Linked DNA regions of Arabidopsis thaliana. The protein of the gene in region 1 interacts with the protein of each later gene in a pairwise test. Each region holds a gene or a part of one and is shown on either strand. Other genes may lie near its edges.

What was found. The genes of interacting proteins can lie anywhere in the genome.
Region 2: the proteins of WRKY7 (region 1) and IAA30 interact in binary tests that used the Arabidopsis thaliana proteins (3 or more experiments, as listed by UniProt).

Annotation. Positions count from the first base shown.
Region 1 is NC_003075.7:12,569,058-12,575,496, reverse strand, and holds WRKY7 (WRKY DNA-binding protein 7), read right to left. Parts: upstream 3,960-6,439; 5' UTR 3,568-3,959; coding exon 2,792-3,567; intron 2,690-2,791; coding exon 2,564-2,689; coding exon of another isoform or gene 2,560-2,563; exon of another isoform or gene 2,211-2,559; coding exon 2,051-2,210; 3' UTR 1,724-2,050; downstream 1-1,723. Other genes in the region: MLO13 (Seven transmembrane MLO family protein), read left to right, coding at 21-88, 172-232, 322-489. UniProt on the Arabidopsis thaliana protein: Transcription factor. Interacts specifically with the W box (5'-(T)TGAC[CT]-3'), a frequently occurring elicitor-responsive cis-acting element.
Region 2 is NC_003074.8:22,992,568-22,997,890, forward strand, and holds IAA30 (indole-3-acetic acid inducible 30), read left to right. Parts: upstream 1-3,118; 5' UTR 3,119-3,267; coding exon 3,268-3,634; intron 3,635-3,764; coding exon 3,765-3,861; coding exon of another isoform or gene 3,862-3,865; exon of another isoform or gene 3,866-3,971; coding exon 3,972-4,026; 3' UTR 4,027-4,242; downstream 4,243-5,323. Other genes in the region: AT3G62110 (Pectin lyase-like superfamily protein), read right to left, coding at 4,746-5,323. UniProt on the Arabidopsis thaliana protein: Aux/IAA proteins are short-lived transcriptional factors that function as repressors of early auxin response genes at low auxin concentrations.

The DNA.
Region 1 (6,439 bases):
GTTATCCATCGTATCATCAGTTCACATACGGAATACATTCATGTATCATGGAGAAACTAGGCTACCTTATCCCAAGACTCGTCATGGGGTAATATATGAACTCTTTTAAATCTAAATATCAACCTTCAAAAGGTCTAATTAATATTTTTGGTTCGATCTTTGTTCATACAGAGTGTTAGTCCAAGTGCTTTGCAGTTACAGCACATTACCACTATATGCCCTTGTTACACAAGTAAGTGACACATATATATTCACATGTTTACACCAATTCACAACAAATTTGAATCAATTGTTGTTGTTGTTTTGCTCGGTTTTTAAAAGATGGGTAGCAAATTCAAGAAAGGGATATTCGACAATGTAGTACAGTCCACACTGGAAGGATGGTTAGAAGATACGAGGAACAGAGGCGAATCCACGAGCGAGGCTCATAGGATAGAGATGCAACCTACAACTCCTGAATCTTATAATGTCCAAAGTGAAAACCCTTAATTAAGTTGCAATTTGTGTCGTAATCCAATAAGGCTATCCCTTTATTATTTCACATTTAGAGCTCTCATCAGAGGATTGTGTGCATCTATGACATTGACGCCAACGTTCCTTTCTACTTTTGAGGCTACTAGATTAAGTTGACTTGTTACTTTTTATAAGAAAGCTTCGATGATACATGGATTGATATATAATTAAAAAGCTTCTATGTTATTTACTTTCACAACGTTTAAATTTTCAATGATGTTATCGGATGTAGCTTAATTTTTCAGAGTGGCAAATTTAAATTTTTATATAAGTACCTTTTTTTGTTGATAAGATAAATTTATCCCATCTTCTAAAGAGAAGAACTTTAGAATTGCTTTTAAATAAGATAAATTTTATATTTTAACAATAACAAATTACTCGAACTCATTGTCATTTTTCAATTTAATACTTAAAACGATTTGTAGACGTTATAGAATTTCTAAAAAGGTCGTTAACTTTGTAAGGGAGAAAAATACTAAATAACATTGCATTTGAACGTTTTCTTTTACTAATCTCTAAAATAAAATAAAAAATATGGAATGCTTTTTTTTTTTTTTGACTAAGTGAATGACTTTTTAAATTCTATTAATGGATATGTTGTAAAATACTCTTTTTGTATCACTTTAAGTGATGTTTAAAGGTTTTATACACAAATTAAGAAAACACATAATTTGTGTATCACTTTAATCCTACCTCTTTTACATATAATACAATTAAACAAATTTTAACTAATTAGATAACATACTCTAAAATATGATTGGTCTAAAAAATTTTAAAACATCTTTTTAAAAAAAGTCTCTAAAACATCACTTAAAAGTGATATTGAAGAGTTATAACGCAATGATGCATGAATAGCTGATTTTCTTGGTAACAAAATTTTGTAGTAAAGCTTTAAATTTTTTACTAAATGTTGAAGTACTTTACACTTGAATTTATAGCCGTTAACATAATCATAAACATTGTCAACTTTGTTGGAAAAAACACACTTAAAAGGATAACGACATTGCATCTGAGGTTTTTCACTAATGCTGAAATAAATACTTATTAGAGCTACTTATTATTTGATCGACAACTTTTCTAGTTTCTATAAACGTGTGTTAAGTTGATTTGACTATGTAATCTACAAATAGTTCTTTTTTTTTTTGTTTAACGAAATTTGAATTGCAATTTTTTCCAATTACCAGCATAGCATTATGGTCAGTTGAATCTAAATTAACTGATAATTTCCCTAAAAACTCAAATAGTTCTGCAAGTAAGAAAAGAATCAGAGATTTGACAAAAATAGTGCACTAAATATATATTATCCTAGAAATAAATAAACAGAAAAGGACATTCACATGATTCAACTTCCATCAAGATCCACAACGTTCCTCTCTCGTCTTTATCTCCCCTCCCTCTATTTCCTCCAATCAAAAAGAAAGATAAAGCAAAAGCTTTTCAAAAAGAAAAGAATAAAAAAGTGCAGTGCGGGCCCACTCTGTCGTTGACTAATCTGGATAGTGGTCACACACAGACAGTTCCCCTCAAACTCGAGAAACTAAAGAGTTTTGTCATGATTCATCGTCGTCGTCTCGAGAACCAAAGCATGGTTGTGGTCTCCTTCGTACGTCACGATTAGCATCATCGCATCATCTAGTGCACGCTCCACATGCTTACGCGCCGGACAACCTCTTACACTGCTGCACTTGTAATATCCCCTGTCATAACCATTACACCGAGTCCTCCCCAGTTAGTTCGAGTTCTTATTAATTAATGAGAAAAGAAATAGTCAACTTAACTCTCGGCTTTCTATTTCAAATTTATTCTATAGGAAACAACAAGTCAAAAAGAGCGTGAAACTGAACCCACTACTGTACTACTAGACAACATGTTTGGTACAACCGATATAGAAAAAAACAATATTGACAATCTCTCTGGTACTAATATTGACAATACACAAGTTGCTTAATTTTCTAGCCAATATTTGATTTTTGGTGTTGAATCTAGTGAGTGATTGTGATGTATGTGTAGAGTATATATATCGATGGTAAAAAATGTAAAAAATAATTACCGAGGATGAGGAGAGCCTTTGATTGGTTTTTGACCATATTTTCTCCATGAAAACTCATCTGATGGTATATCAGCCATTTTGCTACTTACTGCTGGAACTCTAATCACTCTTTTTACTCTTGATTTCCTGATTTTTTTACACAAATTATAATTAACGTTTTATTAATCAAATCTCAAGATTTAGATCTAAAATAAGATTAATTTTTAATAATAGAAGTTGAATCAAAACCTTTTCTTGGAGCAATGGCAACGGCTTGAGGGAGATGAATTACATCTTCTCTTCAACGAAGCTGATGATAAAGGAGGTTTACCTCTCGAACCAGAGAGCTGAGATGGGTTAGTGAACTCGAATCCTGATGACATGTGAGTACTATCGGTGTCACATCTATGAGAAGACATGAATGAGTTCGTCGCTGAGACTGGTGGTGACGGCGCAAAGTTTATCGTTGACGGTGCTCCGTTTGCGAGCATCGGAGGAGATGAAGAAGACGAACCGTTCTTTGTTTGATTCTGATTGTTGTTGTTATTGTGTGATAGAGGAGGACGACGATGAATTGGTGTTGGACAATAAACTCTAAACGCAGATCCACCACCGTGATATTGCTCTGTTTTCTGTTTTGTTAACACGGAGCTTGTTTCTGGCTTCTTCTCCTCCACCTCCACCTCCTCCTCAACCACCGGCGTTTGCTTAAACGGCGTTTGCGTTGACGCGGGAGCTCGTCTGAATCTAGCGTGTCCGGTTCTAGATCTACCGAGTAGAGAAATGACCTTCTTGAAGCTGTTAACGGCGACGTCAGTCACCGCGGTTATCTCCGTCTGACTCTTCTCCGTTGGTTGTTGACTTTGACCGATCAGTTTAAGAAACTCCTCCACACCGTGAATCCCTGCAGAAGCAGCTTCTCTCAAAGCGGTATCTTCCATTTTCGCCGCCGCGGCGATTGCAGGAAAACCATCACCTCCTCCTCCGCCGCCGCTGTAGCTGCTCATCATCAGCTCAACAGTCATCTCATCAAATCAGAGACCAACCACTCAGATTCTTATTAAAGGTCAAAGGAGATGTAAATAAATACAAAGATTCAACAGTTTTCTTGTAAGTTGTGTTTTTGGTTAAAGAAGAAGATGATGATGATGATGAGGGGAAGAATAAATGAAGAGAGTGAAAAAGGGGGAGAGTCAACGATATGCGTTTCTCTCTCTATATCTTTAGGTATGTGTTGATAGTGCATCAGTCAAATCGACCACCACTCATAGGCTTACACGTGTGATCATTTGTCAAGCGTTTTGACACTCCTCAGCGTCAATGATTTTAAATTTGGAGCAAGTGGAGCTCGAATTATATATATATTCGTTATTATTATTCGAGAAAAATCTAAGATATTTTATATTTTTGAGGCTGATTAGATGCTAAAAATATAAAAATTAAATTTTTAATTAAAGAAAGATCTAAAAGGAGGAAGGTCTCTCTCTTCTCTCTATAGTATTTTTCAGAGAAAGATTTTTCCGATGTAAGTTTAGAATCGCCGTCCGGGTTTCTTCCGGTTTCCGTTATCTGGATTTTTTCCGGCTATTATCTCCCGTTGATCGGGATTTAGATTTCTTTTTGGGCAATTTTGAATTCGGTTTCTTCGGATTTGTTTTTGTTTTGTAGCTTTAAAATCTTGATGATGAAACATTATGACAGGCAGAATCTTCAGTTCCGAAGAGGTGTTCTCTTCGCATGATTTAGTTTCTTTCTGCTTTGATTGGCTTCACCGTTGGGTTCTGTTTTTTTTGGCTCCAACAGTTTTCCGGCGATGTGTGCGTTCTCGACAATTAGGTTCGTTTGGATCTACTGTGTTTAAGACAGTTTCAATTTCTCCACGACTAAGGTTAGGTCAAAGCTCGTTTCCTATGCAATTAAGATATGCCTTTGTTGTTCTTGCAAGAGATTTAATTGTTAGACAAGTTTGAACTACTCAGTTTTCTCTAATTTCTTTTACCCATTTTTGCCGAATCCTTTGTGATTCTTGCAATCGGATGAGATTAGGAGATTGATGTTTGTTCTGTAACTTTTAATTGGTGATAAAAAAGAAGTCTCGTTGACCGGTGATTTTCCAACGACGTTTCTGATTCACCAGGCTTGAGTCTCATGTGCAGTGGAGGTTAGGCCTGGGCACGAAGCGAATATCCGGAAAATTTGGGATATTTGTTATTCGATTCGTTTTAATCGAATACTTAATTTTATTATTTGCTTTGATCCGAAAATTTCCAAATATCCGAAAATACGAATATCCGGATTTTTGTATGATATTTGTCGGATATCCGCTTTGCTTTGCTACATCCAAATATTTTTTTATATAAATTATTTAACATAGATTTCAAATTTCTTACCTTATGACTTACGAGTGTGAGATTGAGAGCAACTGAAAATTTTCTGGTTATAAATTCTGTAACCAAATTGAGTGATAAAAATAGTGAAAGGTCGAAGAAAGGAAACAGAAATGTCGCTCTTATATTTGATGGATTGGAAAGTAAAACGACAATTTTAGGATAAAATATAAAAAATAAAACAATTTTATTTTAAAAAATTCCACTTCTCTAATAAAAACTGTGTCACAAAAAAAACACAGGCCCAAAGGATACAAATACAAGCCCAAATCCCAACATATACAAATGCACAACCTATATTGTGATATATATATATATATATATATATAGATCGAAGCGAATATCCGACTTTAGAAAAAATAGTATTTGTTATTTGCTTCGGTTTTTACGATTACTACATTTTTCTATTTGCTTTGCTCCAAAATCTTACGAATATTCGGATTTTTCGAATCAAATCAAATCGAATATTGAGTTAAAGCGGATCGAACGAATATTTTGTCCAGGACTAGTGAAGGTTGTGGACGTTCCACGTGTCCCTAGCTTATTATTATTGGTCTGACACGTCTATAGCTTATCTCTTCTTTTGTGTCGTATGAGCCTTTATATGTGGGATGTCTTGGGCTTTATTTTGGTTTTCTCATAACCAAGCATTGTACTGGTAATGATAAAATGAATAAAATATTACACTTATGAGAAAAAAAAAAAAAAAAAGATGCTAAAAATATTACATATTTATGCAGAATATAGAATAAATCACACATACTGATTTAATAAATGCTCTATCAACTCTGATATATAAGGAGATTTTGAAAAGAAAAAAACAAAGAGGAGACTTTTGTTGTGCGACAGTGATTTTAGTAATTTTGGCAAAGTTAAGTTTGCCTTTCTTTGTTTGGTAAAGTCGTTAGGGAAAGAAACAAAAACTTTTTATTAGTGAAAACCTCGTTAGACTGATTTTTAAGTTTCTTCGTGAAGTGTGTTGTTACCCATTTATCAAGTTTTTTTTAACCGTAGTTGAGCAAATAAGGACGAGTGTCATGATTGTGGTTCCGTCACAAACTTATCGACTGGGTTTGGCCATGTAGGTGAATAGGTAGGAAGACATGGGCCTTAGTCTTATCATATTATGCATTAACATAGGCCCATGTTTTGTTTGTAAAGGCCCAAATAAACTATGAACTGTCCTTGCATATTACCTCAAAAACCTTTAATCTCTCTTTTGGTCTTGTTTTCTATTTCCATTTCTATACCATTCAAAACTATAACTTAATTTCAGCATCATTAAAGCTTGGAATGGGAGTAATTTTCAATGAGCTGGTTTTTGTTATTTCAAAAAAACTCACTAAACATCCAATCAAAATTAAGGAAATTAGTTTTCATAAAAGTGTGTTTTTTAAAAGCCAGATTTTTATCATACGAAAATCCAAAAAAAAAAAAAAAAAAAAAATTAAAAAAACTCTTCCAATCATTATTTTAGTTTGTAAAGAGTCCAAAGACAAAGATCCAGTGA
Region 2 (5,323 bases), on another chromosome or scaffold:
TCATATATATATTTATCATACTAACAGAAGAAATCTACATTATTGTAAAGGACTGGGAGAAATAATTTTCTAAGAACAAGAGCAACACATATTTCTTTATGATGAAATGAAATCACTCGTAAAGAAACGGGAGTAGCTTTGAAGTCATTTATCACTTGTACGTCAAACAGAAGATTAGAAGGTGAATCACTGCATTTTATGGTTTGGTTTATGATAAAGACGGTTTTTTAATTTTTAAACCGCTATGTTTTTTGTTGGTTGGTTTCGAAGCCAAAAATATATCAGAGTGGTGGTCAAAAACCTCTAATTTTGAAGATATAATAATTGGTTTATGTCAAAAAGAGATATAATAATTGGTCTTGCATGTTGGTATGGTCAACTTTGTGACTAAAAAAAAGAAAGAGCCTAAAACGAGAAAATGGAATGAGTTGGCCAACAAGAGAGGCTACAAAAGAGTCACGAGACATGCAATCATCCGGATTTGAAGCCAGCCCATGTTTTTACTGACAAGCAAACACATTGCAGTAAAGTCGAGTTATCATAATTTATGATAAACATAAAGTAAATTATGAGTAGTATTTTTTTTCTTTCAAAAAGAAGCAAAACTCTCTTACAACTTAATGATTTGTAAAAGGACGAGACATTATCATTAAATCTTGAAACTAAAAAACTATGAGTGCCTTGAAAATCTGAGAATCACTGTTTTTCTTTTGAATTTCATTTCTATGTACATATGGTGAAATCTCAATTCTCCAATTTTCTTTTAGTATTGTTTTTATACTTTCACAAATAGGATTTAATTTACTTAGAATTGACTCTATTTTTTTCTTGTTTTTACTATCTATGTTCGCTTTCCAGAATTTTATACGTTATTCAAAGAAAATACTTGACCAAATACATGTAATAACATATTGGTTATCTAGAAACAAAAGACGAGTACAAGATACAAAAAAAAAAAACAAAGGGGACAAAGAATGGTGTGGAGAAAAAAGTTTGAAGAAGAAAGAAAAAAAAGTGAGGAAATTGTGATGATAATGGTAGGGGTGGTGGGGAACATATCTCTTCTTTATCAGTTTCCCTTTTTTTTTTTCTCTCTCAAAAATCATGTTTGGAGTTTCTTTTGGTTCAAGCTAAATCTTTTTCTCTTCTTCTTTCTAATAGTATCTATTTGTTTCTTCAAACCAAACGATATCTACGCAATACATGTCGGTTATTGTGATAACGACATTGTTTGGATGTTTCGGGTTCAAAAGATTTGTATGAATGTGTATACTATATATGTTTTTGGCTCAATGATAAAGACACTTGATAAGAGATTCAGGATCGTTTCAAATTATTTTAAAAAACTATATATAATATGAAAAACACTTTAATACTTAAGAATACTATTTGTAATCCGTAAAACTTTAAGTTCTAAAACCATTAATTAAAAATAAGAAACAAGTTACGTTGTACATATAAACTAAAAGACGGAATGGAATATGATTTGATTGTAAAAATAACTTTGGACAAAATCTTCCAATTATAAAAGAGAGAACAAAGAGTTCTAATCATATTGATTGGTAGGTCATGAAGAAGCTTAAGGAGTGATTGTAGAAGAGTGGAAGTGGAGGCGACAAAGTGAGGAGACACGTGGAAAAAGGCACGTGACGTGGGGAACGTGAAATGTTGTCGATAGTGTTTACTGTCTCGTGCTTGCAAAACTATATGTATGTTTTGGAGTGTGAGAATTGTGACGTATCCTCAGTCCTTAGTCCATAGGCGAAGCATCTCTCATTAGCTCCTCTCTTTAAGGTTACGCATTCATTACTCATGCTTCCCTTCTCTCATTTTCTTTCTTTTTCTATATTCCCCTCTATTTGTTTCTTCGCTTCTAATTTATTACATGTAACGTACAAAACCAAGAAGCATGCACTTTTTTCTGGTGACCAAAGTTTAATATATCAACCGAATTGACTATACCACATACATGTTTCTATCTAAATCCAATGAATATTACACAAATAGAATCTTGGTGTGCCAACCAAAGAGAAGCATTTATTAAAGTCACTATTTTGAATACTAACGACGGATAAGACTAAGATCACCAATATGATGTGTTTTGGTCTCTGCCATGAAAAGATACAGAAATTCTGATTAAGATTTGTGGGAGATTAGCACCACTTGATTCACTTTGATTGCTACACATAAAAGGTTGGTAAATTGGTTTAGTATTGGAAAAATATAGTAGTGGTTGGACTTGACTATAGATGCTTCATGATAAGATAAATTAAAAGGAACAATCAAATTAGTAGAGGAGTGTAATTACTAACAGCGACGTGGATTAAAATCATGGAAAGCTCAAACTCTTGTCATGCTTAGATACAATGGAGTCCACGTAGACTATTTTCAATATTTTTTGTCATAATTAAAGAACATTATTAGAGAGTTAATGACGTACATGAGACGTGTTTAGCAGTTGATATTCAATTTAAAAAACATTTTGACATACTTTAATGCTAAAACAAAAACATTTTTTTTGCTTAAAGTGTCTCGCGGTTATAAAAAAAACCTTAATTATGGAAGTGTTGTTTGTCGAACCCACGAATGCATCAATGCGCGTCACGATAGTCTCATGCATTGAACTTGATTTTACTAAGACGGATAATGAAGTAAACTATGTATTGTACATTGGTCTACATTTATTTAAGAAAACATGTTCTTATCCGGTTTAGAACTATCTTGTCTACGTTCATATGATTCCTTAAATCTAAGCCTAAACTTTTTAAACTAAATCAGTCACAGTTTCTTATTCATTTATAGTGTTTTAACAAAATAATTCAGTTAATTCTAAAATCCAACCCTAATTATTTTATAAGAAATCAAACAATCTTTTTTCTTTTTTTTTTTGTTAAACGAAAGGTAGTACTAGGAGTCGAGTATATTTACATTGAAACAAACAAAATTTAATTAGAACACACCCAGCAAAAAAATCCGAGCACAAAGTCAAAACCAACACTTTGACCAAGTGTCTGCATGACACGTGTATTTGTCTGCTACATGGACAACATCTTTAACAACACTGTCTCATCATTCCACCATTTTCTTTAATTAAAAAAAAAACATATCAGAAAGACCATTCCAATATTATTACTTCTTCCTTTTAAGCTCTAACAATTAAATAAAAATTTCCATTCTCTATATATAATACACACACGTTCAAATCATTAATCACCTGTTTTAGATAAAATCATAGAGAGAGAGAAATAGTAAAAGAAATAAAAAAAAATGGGAAGAGGGAGAAGCTCATCGTCTTCATCGATAGAGAGCAGCTGCAAAAGCAACCCATTTGGTGTGTCTTCGAGTAATACTCGGAACCTAAGCACGGACCTGAGACTCGGGCTCAGCTTCGGATCATCTTCCGGACAATATTACAACGGTGGAGATAACCATGAATATGATGGAGTCGGTGCGGCAGAGGAAATGATGATCATGGAAGAAGAAGAGCAAAACGAGTGTAATAGTGTCGGAAGCTTCTACGTGAAAGTGAACATGGAAGGAGTTCCTATTGGGAGAAAGATCGATCTTTTATCTCTTAATGGATATCATGATTTGATCACAACTCTCGACTACATGTTCAATGCTTCAATCCTTTGTAAGTATCTACACACACTTAATTACATCTTTGCATGTAGACTTAGTTAATATTTATATTTGTTATACCTCTCTTTGCATGTATATAGTTAAGACCAAAACTAATGGCAATAAAAAAATTGTGAAAATAGGGGCTGAAGAAGAAGATATGTGTAGTGAGAAGAGTCACGTGCTAACGTACGCAGACAAAGAAGGTGACTGGATGATGGTTGGAGATGTTCCTTGGGAGTAAGTTCTTTTTTAATTTTAGTGTATTAAAAATCTCTAGTTAAGTATTTTTTTTGACATAATTATGTAAAAATTCCCTTTAATTAATGGGGACTTAATTGATTATGTAGGATGTTCTTGTCTAGCGTGAGAAGACTAAAGATCTCAAGAGCTTATCACTACTGATTTTCTAAAAGCAAACTTGGAAGAATCTAGGATTGACCAATACAGTCAGTGGTGGTGGGGGAAAAAGTTAGTTTTGTCTGAATGTAAATCACTTGTTCGAGATTTTATTCAAATTTTGTTTCTAGTTTTATTACATTTATAAAAAAATCGGTTGTAACTTGTAATGAAGCTATTTTTTTCAAGAAAAAAAGCTGTAGCTAATGCAGATCCTTTTTGGTTTAGTAGTTATTTTTATGGTTTTAGACATAGATTAGATAATACTAGAAATATGAATTGTTTTGGAACACTGCTGAATTAGGTTCATATTCGTATTCTAGTTTTCACAAAGTTTCAGTTGAGTTACTAGTTTAACCAAATCAAGATCTATTTCATATTTTCATACTATCATTTACTTCTCAATTCAACTATTTTACCGGAATAAACAGTGAAATATAGTTGTTCTAGTTATGGAATCTGAAATTGAAAAATAATTGTCAAAAAATTTCAACAGACTCTGTCGGAGATATTACAATTGTTCCGCTCACCAAAAGCATTAAAGCCCATACAAGGAAAACAAAAACAAAAACTCTTAAGCCACTCTGATTATTTTCCTCACTGCACACAAATTTACACGAAAACAACAAAAGATGAAAGAAAGCATCATTTTTCAAAATCGAAGAGGTTTCTTCAGAATCAAGCAAACTGTGTTTCCCCTTTGATGTTCAAAACTTCACAGTAACTTACCAAGAAAGTAACCATGGTGATCTACTTAAACCACTTGATATCTCCATATTATTTTCCGATAACCCGAAACAATCAGATCCATGTTCCGGGAATATACTCTCTTTCAAAGAATCACAAGTAATTTCCGGCGAAACCCACTGTGAATAACCTCTCACATTCGAGCATTCCCATGGTGATTTCTTCGAATTCTTCTTCACTCTAAGAGTAACATTAAGGAAACATATATTCTTAAACACATCTCCTTCTATACCTTCAAGAAGACCCGCAACACCTATTCCATCGCCATTTACATTCTCAAAGGTGATTTTCTCTATAGCTGGGAGTGCTTTGGGATCGTATTTCTCATCAGGATGTTCACCGTACTTACCGGTGAACCTAATCGCTTTCTTTACATTATCGAGCTTCACGTTCAAGATGTGAACGTTTCTAACATACCCGCCTCTTCCAGCAGAAGTCTTGATTCTGATTCCAGTATTCGAATTGAACAAATGTAAGTCTTTAATGTATATTTCGGATACACCTCCCGACATTTCACTTCCTATTGCTATTCCTGAGCTTGAAGTAGTTTGACCTG